Linked DNA regions of Drosophila melanogaster. The protein of the gene in region 2 interacts with the protein of the main gene of each other region in a pairwise test. Each region holds a gene or a part of one and is shown on either strand. Other genes may lie near its edges.

The links.
Region 1: the proteins of Tsp42Ef (region 2) and CG8219 interact in a two-hybrid assay, tested with the Drosophila melanogaster proteins (one large-scale study listed by BioGRID).

Annotation. Positions count from the first base shown.
Region 1 is NT_037436.4:6,197,138-6,204,276, forward strand, and holds CG8219 (uncharacterized protein), read left to right. Parts: upstream 1-3,335; 5' UTR 3,336-3,402; coding exon 3,403-3,501; intron 3,502-3,594; coding exon 3,595-4,185; intron 4,186-4,238; coding exon 4,239-5,306; intron 5,307-5,363; coding exon 5,364-5,534; intron 5,535-5,588; coding exon 5,589-5,760; intron 5,761-5,821; coding exon 5,822-5,917; intron 5,918-5,972; coding exon 5,973-6,048; intron 6,049-6,113; coding exon 6,114-6,288; intron 6,289-6,349; coding exon 6,350-6,463; 3' UTR 6,464-6,639; downstream 6,640-7,139. Other genes in the region: Tnpo (transportin), read left to right, coding at 246-420, 477-584; LanA (laminin A), read right to left, coding at 7,038-7,139.
Region 2 is NT_033778.4:7,021,719-7,029,844, reverse strand, and holds Tsp42Ef (tetraspanin 42Ef), read right to left. Parts: upstream 4,836-8,126; 5' UTR 4,461-4,835; coding exon 4,404-4,460; intron 2,862-4,403; coding exon 2,688-2,861; intron 2,627-2,687; coding exon 2,465-2,626; intron 2,402-2,464; coding exon 2,204-2,401; intron 2,144-2,203; coding exon 2,072-2,143; 3' UTR 1,763-2,071; downstream 1-1,762. Other genes in the region: Tsp42Eg (tetraspanin 42Eg), read right to left, coding at 687-746.

The DNA of each region.
Region 1 (7,139 bases), on a different chromosome or scaffold from region 2:
ATGCTTATTCTTTCCTTCTATTCTCTTATCTATCCTTCCCGTTCTTCCCATTACTCTTAAATTACGCTTGAACACTGAAACCTATAAGCACATCGATCTATTCCTTTGTTCCACAACTCACTAACAATCCACATCATTTAACTGGAATTTAAATTTGCTTTTGAACTTTCGTGTTTGCCAAAGCCTGCTAATTTAGTTTACTTTTCCTGAAAACGACATTTAAACATTTTCTTTGAAAAATGCAGGTGCACATCGTTGCGGCACATACGAGACAATGATGAGAAGGACTCAGCCTTCCGTGGAATGTGTCATATGATCACGGTGAATCCAGCTGGCGTGGTAGCAGACTTTATATTCTTCTGCGATGCCATCGCTTCCTGGGTTAACCCACCAGAGGATCTGCATCAGATGATACAGAAGGTTTGTACCCTACAGGTAGTAACTATTTTCTTTATTTCACACATGTTTCTTTCAAGATTCTGCACGGTTTTAAGACCCAAGTGGGCGAGGAGAACTGGCGTCGATTTGTGGAGCAATTCCCGCCAACCTTGGCCGAGCGCCTGACCACAATGTATAACATCTAAGGCTAGCCATGCCATAAAACACCCACCTTCACCCATTAGCGAGCCAAGCAGCAACTTTTTAACTAGACAATTATGTACAAGTATGCGTAATAAGCGTGTCGTCTTTATCTTTAGCCTCCTTAAGTTATTCGATGCAGTTCGAATGTTAAGTTAACATTGAAAATCTAAGCTTATAGAAATCGAAAAAAACAGCAAATCCACATAAAAGAAACTACATAACTAGATTTAAATCCACAAACATATATCGAAAAATCGAATAGAGAAGAATCGTATATATTTGAATTCAAGCTAGAGGATCTTTGATCTGTAGAACCTCTTTAGGCACACGACTGTCCGCTTACAGCATATAAAATGCCTTTCTTGTGCAGAAAACTTAGTAGGAACCACTAGAAAATTATGTGTTCCGGCCGTACTTAACCGGAGTCAGTGCTATAGCAGATATGCCCCATTCTCCAATACACTCTGCCCCAAAACCCAAACCGAAAATAGAGTTGAATATGTTAAACACACGGGTGTTTCTCATATAGTAATAGAAAAGCTAAATGAAAAATCGTCGAAACTAAATGATATTGCGGGTCCTCGTCGCGGTAATTAAAAACTAAATAACTAAATAAAATCTTTAAAGGATGAAAGTGTTGGGTCTCCTGTGAAATCCTAAGATCAGAAATGGAAAAATGGATTCAATGGCAGGTGCACACAAAATTGTTACAAATCAAACAAAGACTGATGTTCAACTCCGTTCAAAAACCATAGAAAGCATTCATCAACAGCGGATTCCAATTTCCCAGAAGTATCCAACACTTTCGTCATTTATATAACAAACAAAAAATGGAATCGAAAAAAATCGTCGCGTTTCGGGTTCTAACGGTTTCGCGTTCGCGTATTTTCGTCGCTCGTTCGTAATCGTAATCGTCGTTCGTGGTATCTCGTCGGGTAAAACAAAAGAAAAAGGAAAAAAGGATATAATACAAGGATAACGATAATATTGCAACTGTTACTGATACAAATTTACTGATACACTTAATGATATTCATATGCTATACAAAATTAGGTGTTTTTTTACGCATTGTGAAAGCGAAAAGCAAGCAAATAGGGAAACATTGTAAAATTGAGATTAGGATTTTGTTGAATATCTTATTTATTTTCCATTAACTGAATACAAAAGCAACCATTGACTGATCACTTTTTAAAGTATTATTATATAATTTTTTTTTGTATAGGGACAAGTGTAATTAATGAACTATTATTATTTTCTTCGAACTTTTATATCATTTGTATAGACTCGTGTTTTGCGTAACCTCTATAATTTACGATCTTTGTACAGAACAAATTTTTTACAATTATATGATTAGGTGTAAAGTGTACTACTAAATGAAAACAAAAGTCTTTGAAATTGTCGCGGAACAACTAAAACATACGAAAAATAAAACTAGGGAAAACCAAACTCAGTCAAATACAAAATAAATGGATGATTATGAAGCGTAAGAAGAGTAAGTAAATCTAAGTAATAGTATTACGTAATTATGCAAACCGTGTTTACGTTTGTGTTTTTATTTCGTTTCGAAAATGGGGGAACGTGTGATAATAAAGTAACTTCGGGTCGTTCGTTCGCGTCGCGTTAAACTCAATCAATTTAAAAACTAACAATAAGGGACTTTCGCCCCCGAGTCCCAAATAATAATCGCAATACTTGATAACTTGATAATAATACGGTCTAACTAAAGCGGAAGCATAGCAATTGCTAAAACTGAAACTAAACTAAAATGAAAAATCGTGATTTCGTTGTACCTTAATCCGGATTCATCGCGGAATCCGGTCGCGTTCGCGTGCGTTTGTATCTCTCTCGGGTGATCTTAGTGATTAGCGTTTAAGCAGAAAAAAAAAATGAAAACAAAAAAACTGAATCAACACTACTACAACTACACATAAACATACAACATTAAACATGTACACACCACACATATACAGCAATATGAAATATATTTATAGATTTTATGCAGAGTAGGTTTTTGTTTAAAATATTATTTTTCATTACGATAGGGCAAACCAAAAAAAAAAGTAGGGAACATCAAATAAACTAAATGTTAGGTCAAGCTAGGGCAAGAAACAAATTAAAACAGCAAATCAAAAGTTATTTGTGCAGCATTAGAGAATTTTTTTCTTATTTCTTTCAATATTATCGTGTGTATGCTATTAAATCGATGAAGAGAACATACCAACTGTTTTTAGTACTTTACACAATTATGATATTTAACTTCCGTTGTTTTTTTTAAGTAAATCAAGACCAAGCCTAGTAAATATTGTTTTACCATCTATATCTTCATAAACAGCACGTAAAACTTTTCGTTCATCGAACATTCAACTCTGATAGGTTTATATCTCTAATCGTTTAAGCTTACAACCACTGTCTAGGCTAAATCAAATGTTCTGCAAATGTCTAACGAAATTGAATATATATACGGGCCTATATGCATAAATAACATACGCATATATATGAAATACATGCATGTATGTATAATCCCTACATCAAACTATATGGATTACAGATTATTCTTCTGGAGTTTATATATTTGTTTGGCTAAAAACTCCATTTCAAAATTCAACTATCAAGATTTGTGTAAATTGAAAAGTATATATATGAATAAATATGTATGTATAACAAACATTACCCATCAAGATAATGGATTTTCTGATTTGTATGGGATATGAGTAGGCCGAGAACAGAGTGTCATTCTCTGTCACTTCGGTAGCCCCCTTTGGCAGACCTTACCCCACATTTATCATACAAAACCCGGCTAACTTTTGCATCAGCAGCAAAATGGCATGGACACCACGGGATGAAGGTCTGCAGCAGCTCCTACCGATACTCAAGGACTCACAGTCTCCCGGTAAAGCCACGCAGCTAGCCGTGCAAGAGGTAAGTACCGAAGACCCAACTGATTTAGCAATCCTCATCGGGTGCTTCCCGGACTTCAACAACTATCTCGTCTATGTGCTCACGAATCTGAAGACGGAAAACGAGGCAACGCGCTCCATGAGCGGCCTAATCCTCAAGAACAACATTCGCATGCACGACATCACTCTGCAGCCGGAACACCTGGAGTATATCAAACACCAGTGCCTGCAGGCAGTGGGCGACTCTTCACCCGAGATCCGTGGCACCGTGGGCATTCTGATTACCACCATTGCCAGCAATATCGGTCTGCACAACTGGCCGCAGCTGCTTCCATCTCTCTGCGAAATGCTCGACAACCAGGACTACAATGTGTGCGAAGGAGCATTCAGTGCTCTGCAGAAAATTTGCGAGGACTCTGCCGGAATTTTGGAAAATATGCCATTAAATACAATGATTCCAAAGTTCCTGGAGTACTTTAAGCACAGCAGTCCAAAGATCCGCTCCCACGCCATTGCCTGCATCAACCAGTTCATCATCAACAGATCACAGGCCCTGATGCTAAACATAGACAGCCTCATTCAGAACCTCTTAGACGTGCCCTCGGATAATGACCCAGCGGTTCGCATGAACGTCTGCCACGCATTGGTTGGTCTGGTGGGGGTGCGCATAGACCTTATGATGCCGCACATGTCGCAGATTATTGAGGTATGAAGTTAAGGTTTAGTTTTAAATTTTAACGTAATGAAAAATCTCTGTAGCTCATTTTGTTGCGCTCCCAGGACGCCGATGAGAACGTGGCTCTGCAGGCCACCGAATTTTGGCTTTCATTGGGAAAGCAGAGAAACTGCAGGGATATACTTTCTCCCATTCTATCCCAGTTAGTCCCAGTTCTTGTAAGCCGAACGCAATACACGGAGACGGACATTATTCTTCTGAAGGGCGATGTAGGTGAAGATGACAAGGAGCCTGATAGACAGCAGGATATCAGTCCACGTTTCCACATGTCCCGCGTACACGGTATAAGTAATGAATTGGATGAAAACTCGGACGACGATATGTGGGATTCGGCATTGAACTTGCGCAAGTGCAGCGCTTGTGCTCTCGACATTATTTCGAAAATTTTCGGCGATGTCTGTCTGCCCCTTATGCTGCCCATCCTAAAGGAGGCGCTATTCCACCAGGAATGGGTGATCAAAGAAAGTGGTGTGATGGCCTTGGGAGCTATTGCGGAGGGCTGCATGCAGGGCTTGATCCCACACTTACCAGAGCTGATTCCCTACCTAATTACCTGTCTGTCTGACAAGAAGCCACTCGTACGCTCCATTACATGCTGGACGTTCATGCGATTCCCCAAATGGGTGCTCAACCAGCCGCACGACAAGTACTTGGAGCCTCTAATCGAGGAACTGCTGAAGTGCATCCTGGACTCCAATAAGCGCGTTCAGGAAGCTGCGTGCTCTGCCTTTGTCGCTCTGGAGGAGGAGGCCTGCACGCAACTGGTGCCCTACCTGGAGAATATGCTAAAGACGTTCGTCTTAGCCTTCTCCAAGTACCACCAAAGGAATCTACTGATAATGTACGATGTCGTTGGTCTTTTAGCGGAGTCCGTCGGTCATCATCTGAATAAACCGCAATATATTGACATCCTAATGCCTCCGCTAATGGATAAGTGGAACCTGGTAAAGGACGACGACAAAGATATAATCTATTTGTTGGAGTGCCTATCGAGCATCGCCACTGCGTTGCAGTCCTCCTTTCTGCCCTACTGCGACTCGGTGTATCGAAAGGGCATCTCCATTATTGAGGAGACTATCAACCAGGACATGGTAAGCAACTGTGTTAGCTTCAATGTAAATCTATCAATGAACTCGACTCCTTTCAAGATGTGTAAACAAAGCCAATCAACCGATTATCCTGACAAGGAGCGCATGGTTATCGCCCTGGATCTGGTGTCTGGCTTGATCGAGGGGCTGCAGAGCCTCATAGAGCCACTGGTGGCCAACAGCAAACTTTTGCAGCTGCTCTGCCAATGCATGGGCGACGTTATGCCCGAAGTAAGTTTTACCTAATTAATATACTCGTGTATATGGGATTAAAATACATATTAGGTTCGCCAATCATCGTTTGCCCTGCTGGGTGATTTGAGCGGGGCTTGTTTTTCCCAGGTATACCCCTACACGGCCCACTTTATTTTGATCTTGGTGCAAAACCTAAACCCCAGCGTTGTTGGTGTGTGCAACAATGCAGTTTGGGCCATAGGGCAAATCTGCGTTAAGTTGGGTAAGTTGGCTTGGTTCTCTTATAATGTAACAAAAAAGATTTTTTGTATTTCGCCCCTAAGGTGAGGAAACCAAGCCGTACGTACGCCTTCTGCTTAGCGAACTAATGATCCTGATGAACCGGCAGGACATTCCAAAAAATCTTTCGAGGAATGCGGGTAAGTAATTTGGCCTGATTTAAAGTAATTTATTATTATTATTCTTTTTTTTAAGCAATAACACTTGGGCGCCTCGGAAATGCATGTCCAGATGAAGTGGCTCCCTATTTGCCCGAATTCCTACGCCAGTGGTATGTACACATTAAATGCTTCATTTGCTCATTTTTTAAATTATCCTTTCTTCCACGAAATGAAGGTGCTTGTTATTGCGTTACGCATATGACCACGACGAGAAGTATTTGTCTTTTATGGGAATGTGCCATATGATCAGGGAGAATCCAGGAGGCGTGGTGCCCGACTTCTTATTCTTTTGCGATGCCATTGCCTCGTGGGACAATCCTCCACAGGATCTGCGTCAGATGATTCGAAGAGTAAGTTATTTCCGGAAATTATTAATTTTCGTCTTTCAACAATACTCGTTTGTTATTCTAGATTATCGAAGGCTTTAAGAACCAAACGGGTGCGGAGAATTGGCTAATTTTTTTGGGGAAATTTCCACAACCACTGGCCTGCCGGCTAATCGAACTGTACGACATCGAATACTAATCCGAAGCTATCCAGCCAATTATGTATTGCTTCAATCATCATTCTAATTTTACTAAGTAACCAAAGCCCCAAAAAAAGTCAGCTATTGAGTAATATACGATTTTATATAATCATTTATAATATGAATAATTCAACAAAACCTGAAATATTTTTGTAAATAAAGTCTCAATAATTGTAAAAATGTATGTTACACCATTTAAAACTTATGACATAAAAAAACAAAAGTTTTAGTTTCATTAAAATGTTTATTTTATTGGTTTATTGGAATTACAAAAATGCAAGATTCTCTTAAGGAGTTTTAAAAAGGATATATAAATGTAAATGGCTTTAATAGAATTGGCACGCAGTTTGGCTTATAGTACTAGGAATATATACGACTGGCATCTTTGCTAAGGATCTATTACTTTGAAGACCTTATGACTTTTTTATGACCCGTCGATTTTGTTCGTTTGAAATTTGATCGTTCGTTGTCCTTTGATTAGCAGTTGTCGGCAAAAGAAGATTCTTCCTGGCAGTTTTTCGTAGTCGTTGTCCAAATAAATCATAGGTCCTTAAGTCGTTCCGAAGTTCTTTATTAGTTGAGGGGACAATAGCCCTGCCAAATATCGCCAACGACCATGTTCGGCGTGATGTTGATCATCCTTTGGTTAACCTCCACCTTGCTGATGCAGCCCTT
Region 2 (8,126 bases):
ATCAACAGATATGTATATGTACACACGGCCCAAGCCAAAATCTGGTTCAAGTAAATCCAACTAAAATAACAGCGAATATCTAATAAAAATTCTGTAGATTTTGTTCAGGGTTAAGTGATGGCGTGGGTGACCAAGTTTCGACTTGGCAGACATAAAATGTTGAAAGCCAAATAAAAAGCTCAATAGAAAATAAACAAAATACAAGCAAATATCTAAATATTATATCATTTTTAAAGATATTTTTGTGCGGGTGAAATTCGCTAGAACATGGTGCCTTTTAGAAGAGTTTTTCCCTATCTGGCTGATGTAAAAGTATTTGCCTCAACATTCAAGTGAATTTGAAAATGAAACACAAAAACAAACAAAAATAGCAAAACAATATTTATGCTTAAGGAGGCGCTCCAATGTTTGAATTCTGTGCAATGAAATAAACAAATGTCACGTCAAAGGCTGATGGATTTGTGAATGAACTTGGGCGAAGCTGGAGAACGTTTCTTGGGCAAGAACTGGCATTTGGCCAAAGTTAAGTTGTTTTCCTGCAATTAGCCTTGGCTAGAGCTTCAGCTTAATTACTGTCGTCGTGCTGTTTGGGGTCACCAGAGTTGCGCGACAGAAATACCTGCCCCTTAACGCTTAAAACATGTAATGCTTAATCTTTATGGATGCTTATAGTATATAATACTCACAGCGAGGATAATATCCCAAAAGAGGGCAAAGCCCTTCAAAACGTTTGTGGAGCAGGCCATCTTGCCAATCCAATTTTCGGAAACTATATATCTATTGTTTCTTTGCAGGAGGTTACGCGTATTATTTATAACACTTGGCAACTCGCGGCTTGTTGACAATCGGAAAATATTTATTTCGGATCTAACGGTTGCTGGGGTTACCCAAAACCGGGCTCATGCTCACCGCTCGACTGTTAACTGAAAACTGAAAACTTTTCCAAACGTTCCGACTTTGTTGATAGCGCGAAAAGCATTTGGCGAACAAACGGCGGAAATCGGAACGAAAGCTTCGGCACAACGTGTGGAATCGAAACATTTGGCCGCAAGAGCGCAATGATTTTGTGCTCAACTAGATATTTACTTATATATGTTCGTTAGCGTGTACACAGAAAACAGAAATAGATGACGATCTATTTGAATAAAATGGAAGACGCGGTGGCCCATGCTAGTTATACCCCTTACTCGAAAAAATAGGGTATGTTGTGCACGTGAGCAAGGAACAAACATTTCCTAAAAACACCACGATATCAACATAAGCTGACTTATCTGCTGAAATACAGAACGACGATTGTACTGATCCTTTAATAAAACACTTCATTAAAAATATCATATTTTTTCCAAAAAGTGCAACAGGCTTGGAAAGCTAATATACCCTGATTACTTTGAGGGTGTGTCGCATCTCATAGTAATAGTACTCTGACTGCAGCATTCTCGCTTTTTTTATTTTATTTTTGCCAGTAGAAATATTCGGTTTATAATTAATTTCCATTTGAAACGTTCATCGTGTGTATTTATTTTTTGGATACCAAAGCTTTTCTATGTGTGAGCAACATAACCGGCAGTTTTATTTTTAAATATAATATCGTTTGTATAATTTATACAAGCAAACCACAAATGTGCCCCACAATGTGTGCCCCAATACGTTACTAATCAGGTGTGTGCAACTATATGGATAACTAATTAGGTTAGAATAGTAACGAAACACGACCCAAACACGCTAAATATAATGTGTTTTTCAATAATAACAGAATGAAGTAGGTGCTTGACTTTGGTTCGATAAATTTATTTAAAAGTATGTTGAAATAAATAAAACTAAATCTATTTTACTTTTCTTAATCTTAGTTGTGAGTTGCCCTCTGTATTTCACTGAAATCAACGTGTGAAAAGGGATCATTTCAGTGCACTGTGCTGATTAAATGAGTTTCAATTTCGAAAATATAACAGCAATACCCCAGTCTTGAATAACGCTCAAGACCTGCCAAGCCAATTAATTAATAGTGTAATATTCTTCAGAAATTTAACAAGTCGACTGCCAATCCCAGTTGAGTATTTTCAGGTTTCACTGTCTAAAAGTAAGAACGTCGAGCATCGTTGCGAATGCTGTTGCACAGGCGGCAAGAGATGACACTCAGCAGGAGCTGCAAGAGATGGGGACATTTTAAAAACAGCGCTCAGTCGTTCGCTTTTGGGACACCCACCTCGAAGCCAATGAGTACGAGGGCCAGGATGTTAAAAATCTTGGTCAAGTGTTGCCAGTAGTTCTCGAACTCCACCCGACAGCCGGTGTGGATCAGGTTCTCCGGCTTGCTCTTGTCGTGGTTTCGGAAACATGTCTCCGGCGGCAGTCGTTCGTTGACGATGTAATCCTGGGGACTTCCACGACCGCAGCACTGGAACTACGGGTATATGGGTGATTATCAGTGTTTATGACTCTAACTAGAGCCCTGCTGTCAACTCACCCAGTTCTGGTACAGCGACATGGCACCAGGGCTGTTCAGTTCCTCCTCCCAGGTGGCCTCCAGGGCATTAGCCAGGTTGGAGGCCACCGTCTTCTCCTGGGTGATCAGCAAGTAGACGACGGCGAACTGGGCAATGATGACCAGGCACAGGAAAATAATGAACTGCAAGGAAATAGAACCGTATACCACCATGCTTAACAGTAGACACCCATCCTTGACTTACCGTCACTGTGCAGCACACGTTCTCGCGCCAGGCGGACAGGTATCCCCAAAGGACAACCAGCAGGGCAGCAGCCCCGAGTCCCACGTAGCCGTAGGCCGTCAGCTGACCGATCTCGTTTAGGTTGTAGGACACCGCCACATAGATGCCGAAGGATATCAGCACCAAGGCTAGCAGCTGTGGGATCACAAGTCCAATATTAGTAGGGAATCTTGGGAGCTTCTCGAACGGAATGAGCATTCTGACCTCATTAGAAATACATATATGTTGTTCGTTTAGCTCAAGTAATACAATTACTAGTACCGAAGACCGAAATGAATTGTCTGCCTTAAATTTATCTGATAAGATAAGAATACGTGCGTACATACAACACGATTTAAGTTCAAGTTGAAGACTTTCAAAAAGATTACAATAAATCAAGATTAATTACATGTAAAGGGTAACACTTTATCATAAATTTGATAAGCTTCAACGCTATGAATATATATATATATATATATATTTAATATTAGTTAGATAATTATAAGGGTGGCGCTCGACAGCTTTGATAGCTTTGATAGCTTTGATAAGAGACCGCTGAAATCCCACAATCAAGCCGTCCAAATTCAAATTGGCCGGCAATACACATTCATAGACATGTTGTTATTGTATAGTGTTTGTTATGTTATTCAGCTTATCTTTCCTTGCGAGTGAAACTCACTGAATTGGCAATAGTTACCTTCGTCAGCAACCCATTTAACTAAAGTCCTGGTACTTGTGGCCTAGTGTTCCATTTCTAGTGTTTTGACCTCGCACAAGGCGTTAGTTGGAGAGCCCATTCGGGGGCGTCCTCCAGGCTAGCCCATCTGGCGACAGGGATAGACGCCAAGGAAGTTGGCGGGAACGTGGTGTGGGAAACTAGGGACTGGGAAGTCGAAGAAGGACACCCACAGCAAACAATTCGGACAGGACTGCGCACACAGACAAGGTCACTCGATTACTATTCATATCTGATACGGCGGTATCGCAGCGGATAGCTTGTTTGCTAACGCGCTTGTTTGAGTGGGTTTGAATTATTCAAATTCAGTCTCTGTAGCATTGGGATAAGTTTAAAAGGTGACGTGAGGCGCTCATACAGCGATGATGTTTCGATTCGAAAATGAAAGGCGAGGTGCAAACATCGGTGATTAATTCGCTAGCTGTTTCGATTTAGCTCTGATACGAGTGTGACTGTTTTCCGATTGCAATGGATTCGTCCGAAAGTCATGAGTAAGCCGAGTCCCTGCTGCAAGTCCAGATATCGATTGGAAAATTTCGAATTGATGAGCTGCCAGCGGACGGATAGCCCGATCGTATTATATATGCTGTGACCTCTGGGGCCATCTGGTCCTTCTCACCGCGGCTTGCAATTAAATTGTATAAATAAACCAATAAACTATAATCGGGGAATTGGGTTCGACCATTAGACGGTTTTACTGGTGTGTTTTACACTCCTGCCAACCAAAAATTAACACATGGCGACGGTTCCCATACTAAAATATGCCGTGTATATATGTACGCAGGTACACTTAAAGTTGTGCCATTTGATAAGATGATATATTTCGTGCATTGTTTGGGATCGTTGCGAAACCAACTTAAGTGGTCGTTGTACCGTATTCTTGTTTACAACGCATACAATTGACGTAATCGCTGGAGTGGGCTATCTCGGGTGTGGGCGGGAAACTAGCGAAAGTAACTCACTGTGCAAAGTACGTCCAGGGCGTAAACAATCAGCTTCACACTCGACGTGGACGCCATGGCGGATGATGCTCCTCGGATTCGTTGGGGGTCGAGATGCCTGAAATTCCTGGAGAGCCGCCTGAAGAGAGAGCAAGCTGCGCGAAACTTGTTTTCGTACTCCTCCGCTCTCTTTGAGATCGAATCGGATCAGTGAGATCAGCGATGTTTCTATATCTCTCTATCTCTCTCTGGGCTCCCTGTACGTTATCGATACTTTCTGGAAGATCGTCGCAACTATGTCGAATTTCCTCAATCTAACAGCGTGCAACGTAGCACCACCAATGGTGGGAAATTGTCGGAATCAGCGAGGCACTTTCCCGCAGCGAGTTGAATGACTCATGGGCGAATGACTCGGATCAGGTGCGGTCTGTCCGTCGGCTAGAAATTCACTGAACGGCGCTTCTACTGCCGGCTATCTCTATCTCTTCTCCGAAGCTTTCGAAGTAGCTTTTGCGTGCCGAATGACATCAACGTTGCCAGGCTGACAAGAAAAGCTGAGTGGCGGGTCCCAGAAGTGGCTTTTAAAATATGGGCAATGTCTGTTTTAAACTAGTTTAATGTTTGCTAAAAATGAAGATATAATCATTACTAGCATTCAATACAATCGCTATTCATAAAATAAACGTATAATCTCAAAACAATCAGTTTTAAACGTAGGAAGAATAATATGTGAAATATAATGTGAATAGTCAAATTTAAAATTAAAATTTATGAATAATACTTTAAACTTTGATACTTAATACTTTAATTTATGAATACCAATGAAAGAGTGGAAAAAACACTCACTGCGGTTAGGTCATAGTGGAAGTGGGAAAAAATTTACCGAAGCGAGTTTCTCGACTACGTATACCCGTTACAGATAATTGAATAGAAGATAAGTAAAAAACCTATTCGAGTTTTGTGGCTAATTTATACCCTTTACTTGTAGTGTAGAAAAGACACTTTTGATTAGTCTTGCTTTATTATTAGTCTTGCTGGTTTCAATAGATATGCCCAACACATTTGGGCCATAAAAACGTTAATAAAATATGATTTAGTGTACCAAGGCATTTAGCAATAGGTTTAATAATGGCGCCAATTTGAGAAACAGTAGCTTTCGTACGTTTATATCTTCCTTGCACTCTCATTAGGCGAGTACCGAGTATCTGATAGTAGAGTTGACCTAACTTTCTATTTTAATCTTTTTATTCAGTTGTTTGTATAAGCTTACCACAAATTCACGATAATACGTAAACACAACGTACAGTGTGCATATACTGAAAGCTGAACAAACAAATTTGATTTTAAATGATTTTGTTAAGTCTAAAGATAAAAACGTGTTTATTCTTACCCTCCAAATAGGCAGATGTAATGGCTTCGACCACCCCAAACTGGGAGCTATGTTTCTGGCAGTATCCCAAAACCCACGCAATATGAATATAGTTAACCCATGAAGACAACAAGCCCCAAGAAAATATTATAAGCTTAAACTTAATGAATAAGAAACATTAATAATGCAATTAATAAAGGATCGCCAATGGTGACAAACCTGACACTTGGCACAAACCAAAACGAGACCATAGGCAGAATTGATTAATTGAAAAATACCAAGGAGTGTCCACAGATCTAGACATTCTAAAATATTAATAATTATGGAATGATGTTGATATATTTATAAAATATGAAATTACCTTCAGTCATCGAAATATTGAAATCTGATAAGAGTAGAGACATAAGCTAAATAAAACAATTAAGACGGTATACACCCAATTATATTTAACTAGAACACACCAAATATCCATTGCAAATCAAAAACGGGAGATGCAAAATTATCATGAAACTCTTACACATCGCACGAAACTTCGACTAACACTTTTCAAACTAAAACCCTAAGGAAACTTTTATTAATTGCAAAAGCCTTTCCAAAATGTCCCATTAATATTAATAGCTAAGTTAATATATTAAGTGGCACTGTGGGTGGCAGGACACATAGGTCATGACAAAATATCAATCGAAAAGTGTGGTTATAAACACTAAAATCCTTTATTTTATTTATTTATTTATGTAAACTAAGTCTCCTCCTCGGGTACACATATTTATAAGTTATTGTAAAACCTTATAATTTATAGTATGAAAATATAATTTAATTTCTCTCGGTGTGGAATGGCTGTTTGGTGATTTTTTAATTATTTTTCGATGTAGGGTTAAGTCAGGCGTCACTCATCATATATATTTTTGATTTTTATATATTATAATATCTCAACGACATGAACTTTTCACGACTTGACTCAGTCGCCACTACACAAGAGAGAATGCTATAGTCGTGTTTCACGACTATCAGATACCCGTTACTCAGCTGGAAGTGCGAACGAGAAATTTCAATATTTATTTTGGGAATAATAAAATGAAAAAAAGTTTAAAAATTTTTCAAAACTGTGTGCGTGACAGGTTTGGGCGTTTTTTGGGCGTTATAGTGGACGACGCAACCTTTTTTTGGCCCATAGATAGAAATTTAAAAAACTAGCTCAAAAGTAAAAAAAAATATCAAACCATTTTTCAGAAGTGTGGGCGTGACGACATCTGTATCTCTAGAATCTGTATGCTTAATTTCAACAGTCTAGCTTTTATAGTTCCTGAGATTTCGGCGTTCATACGAACGGACAGACGGACGGTTATGGAGAGTTCGACTCCGATATTGTTCCTGAGCAACATTTCCCTCTTCCTTTTACATACTTTTAAACCTTAAATGTGTGTTTACTTTTATACCCCTTACTCAAAGAGTAAAATGATATGCTAGACTCGATACAAAGTATGTGACAGTAAGACCTGTGGTAGAAATCACGGGTATTATAAGAACTAGAATACTGACATTCTAATATTGTAACACCCGCGCAGCTTTACTTTTATTTATATATAATATTTTTGTGGTTTTATCATAATCTGAAGTTTTCAGCTAAGAAATTATTTTGCAACTTTAATCCCAGGATCATTTTAATCACGAAATAACACTGCGTTTAAAAGAAAATCTCTTCTGGTCTTTTTGATTTTCGAATTTAGCACCTAAACAGTTTATTAAAAGTTTACATCCATTCGCAATATTTATTAAACTTTATTTTGATAAGCAGGACAGTTGTTAACTATTAAATTAATACTAACTATTTCCACCTCCAAGCTCCATCTGAACTTCTTTGGTAGGACAATATTTCAGGCCTTTGAAATTCCCATAAACTGAAACAAGTGAATATATAGCAAAACCTAAGAAAATTGAAGAGAAAGTTTTAAATTTAAGGTTTTCAAAATAACGTATACTCACAGATGTGCAAGAAGTGGAAAATTGAATAGGCATCAAATTTGTTAGCGGTTTCCACGAAAATTAAGACGAATACTTCAATCTCCAATATGCAGAATGTTATAATCCAGAAGCAGAAAATAATTTTAACCTGTTATAACAGAATGCTTAAAAAAGATAGTAATTTATTTGTACCTCACCAACTTTGAATTTCAGGTAATTCAAAAAGAGTCCAGATCCCGCCAGAATGAGTGATAAGAACTCCATGGTAATCAAAAAATCTTTATTTCGATACAATTCGCGATGCATCTCTGGTTGAGTAAAACGTACAACTGTATATGCAAATTCAAAAATAAGCGATATTACGGCGCTCAGGAAAAGTAAAAGTGTTGCAAAGACAATGCATAGTGGTTTGC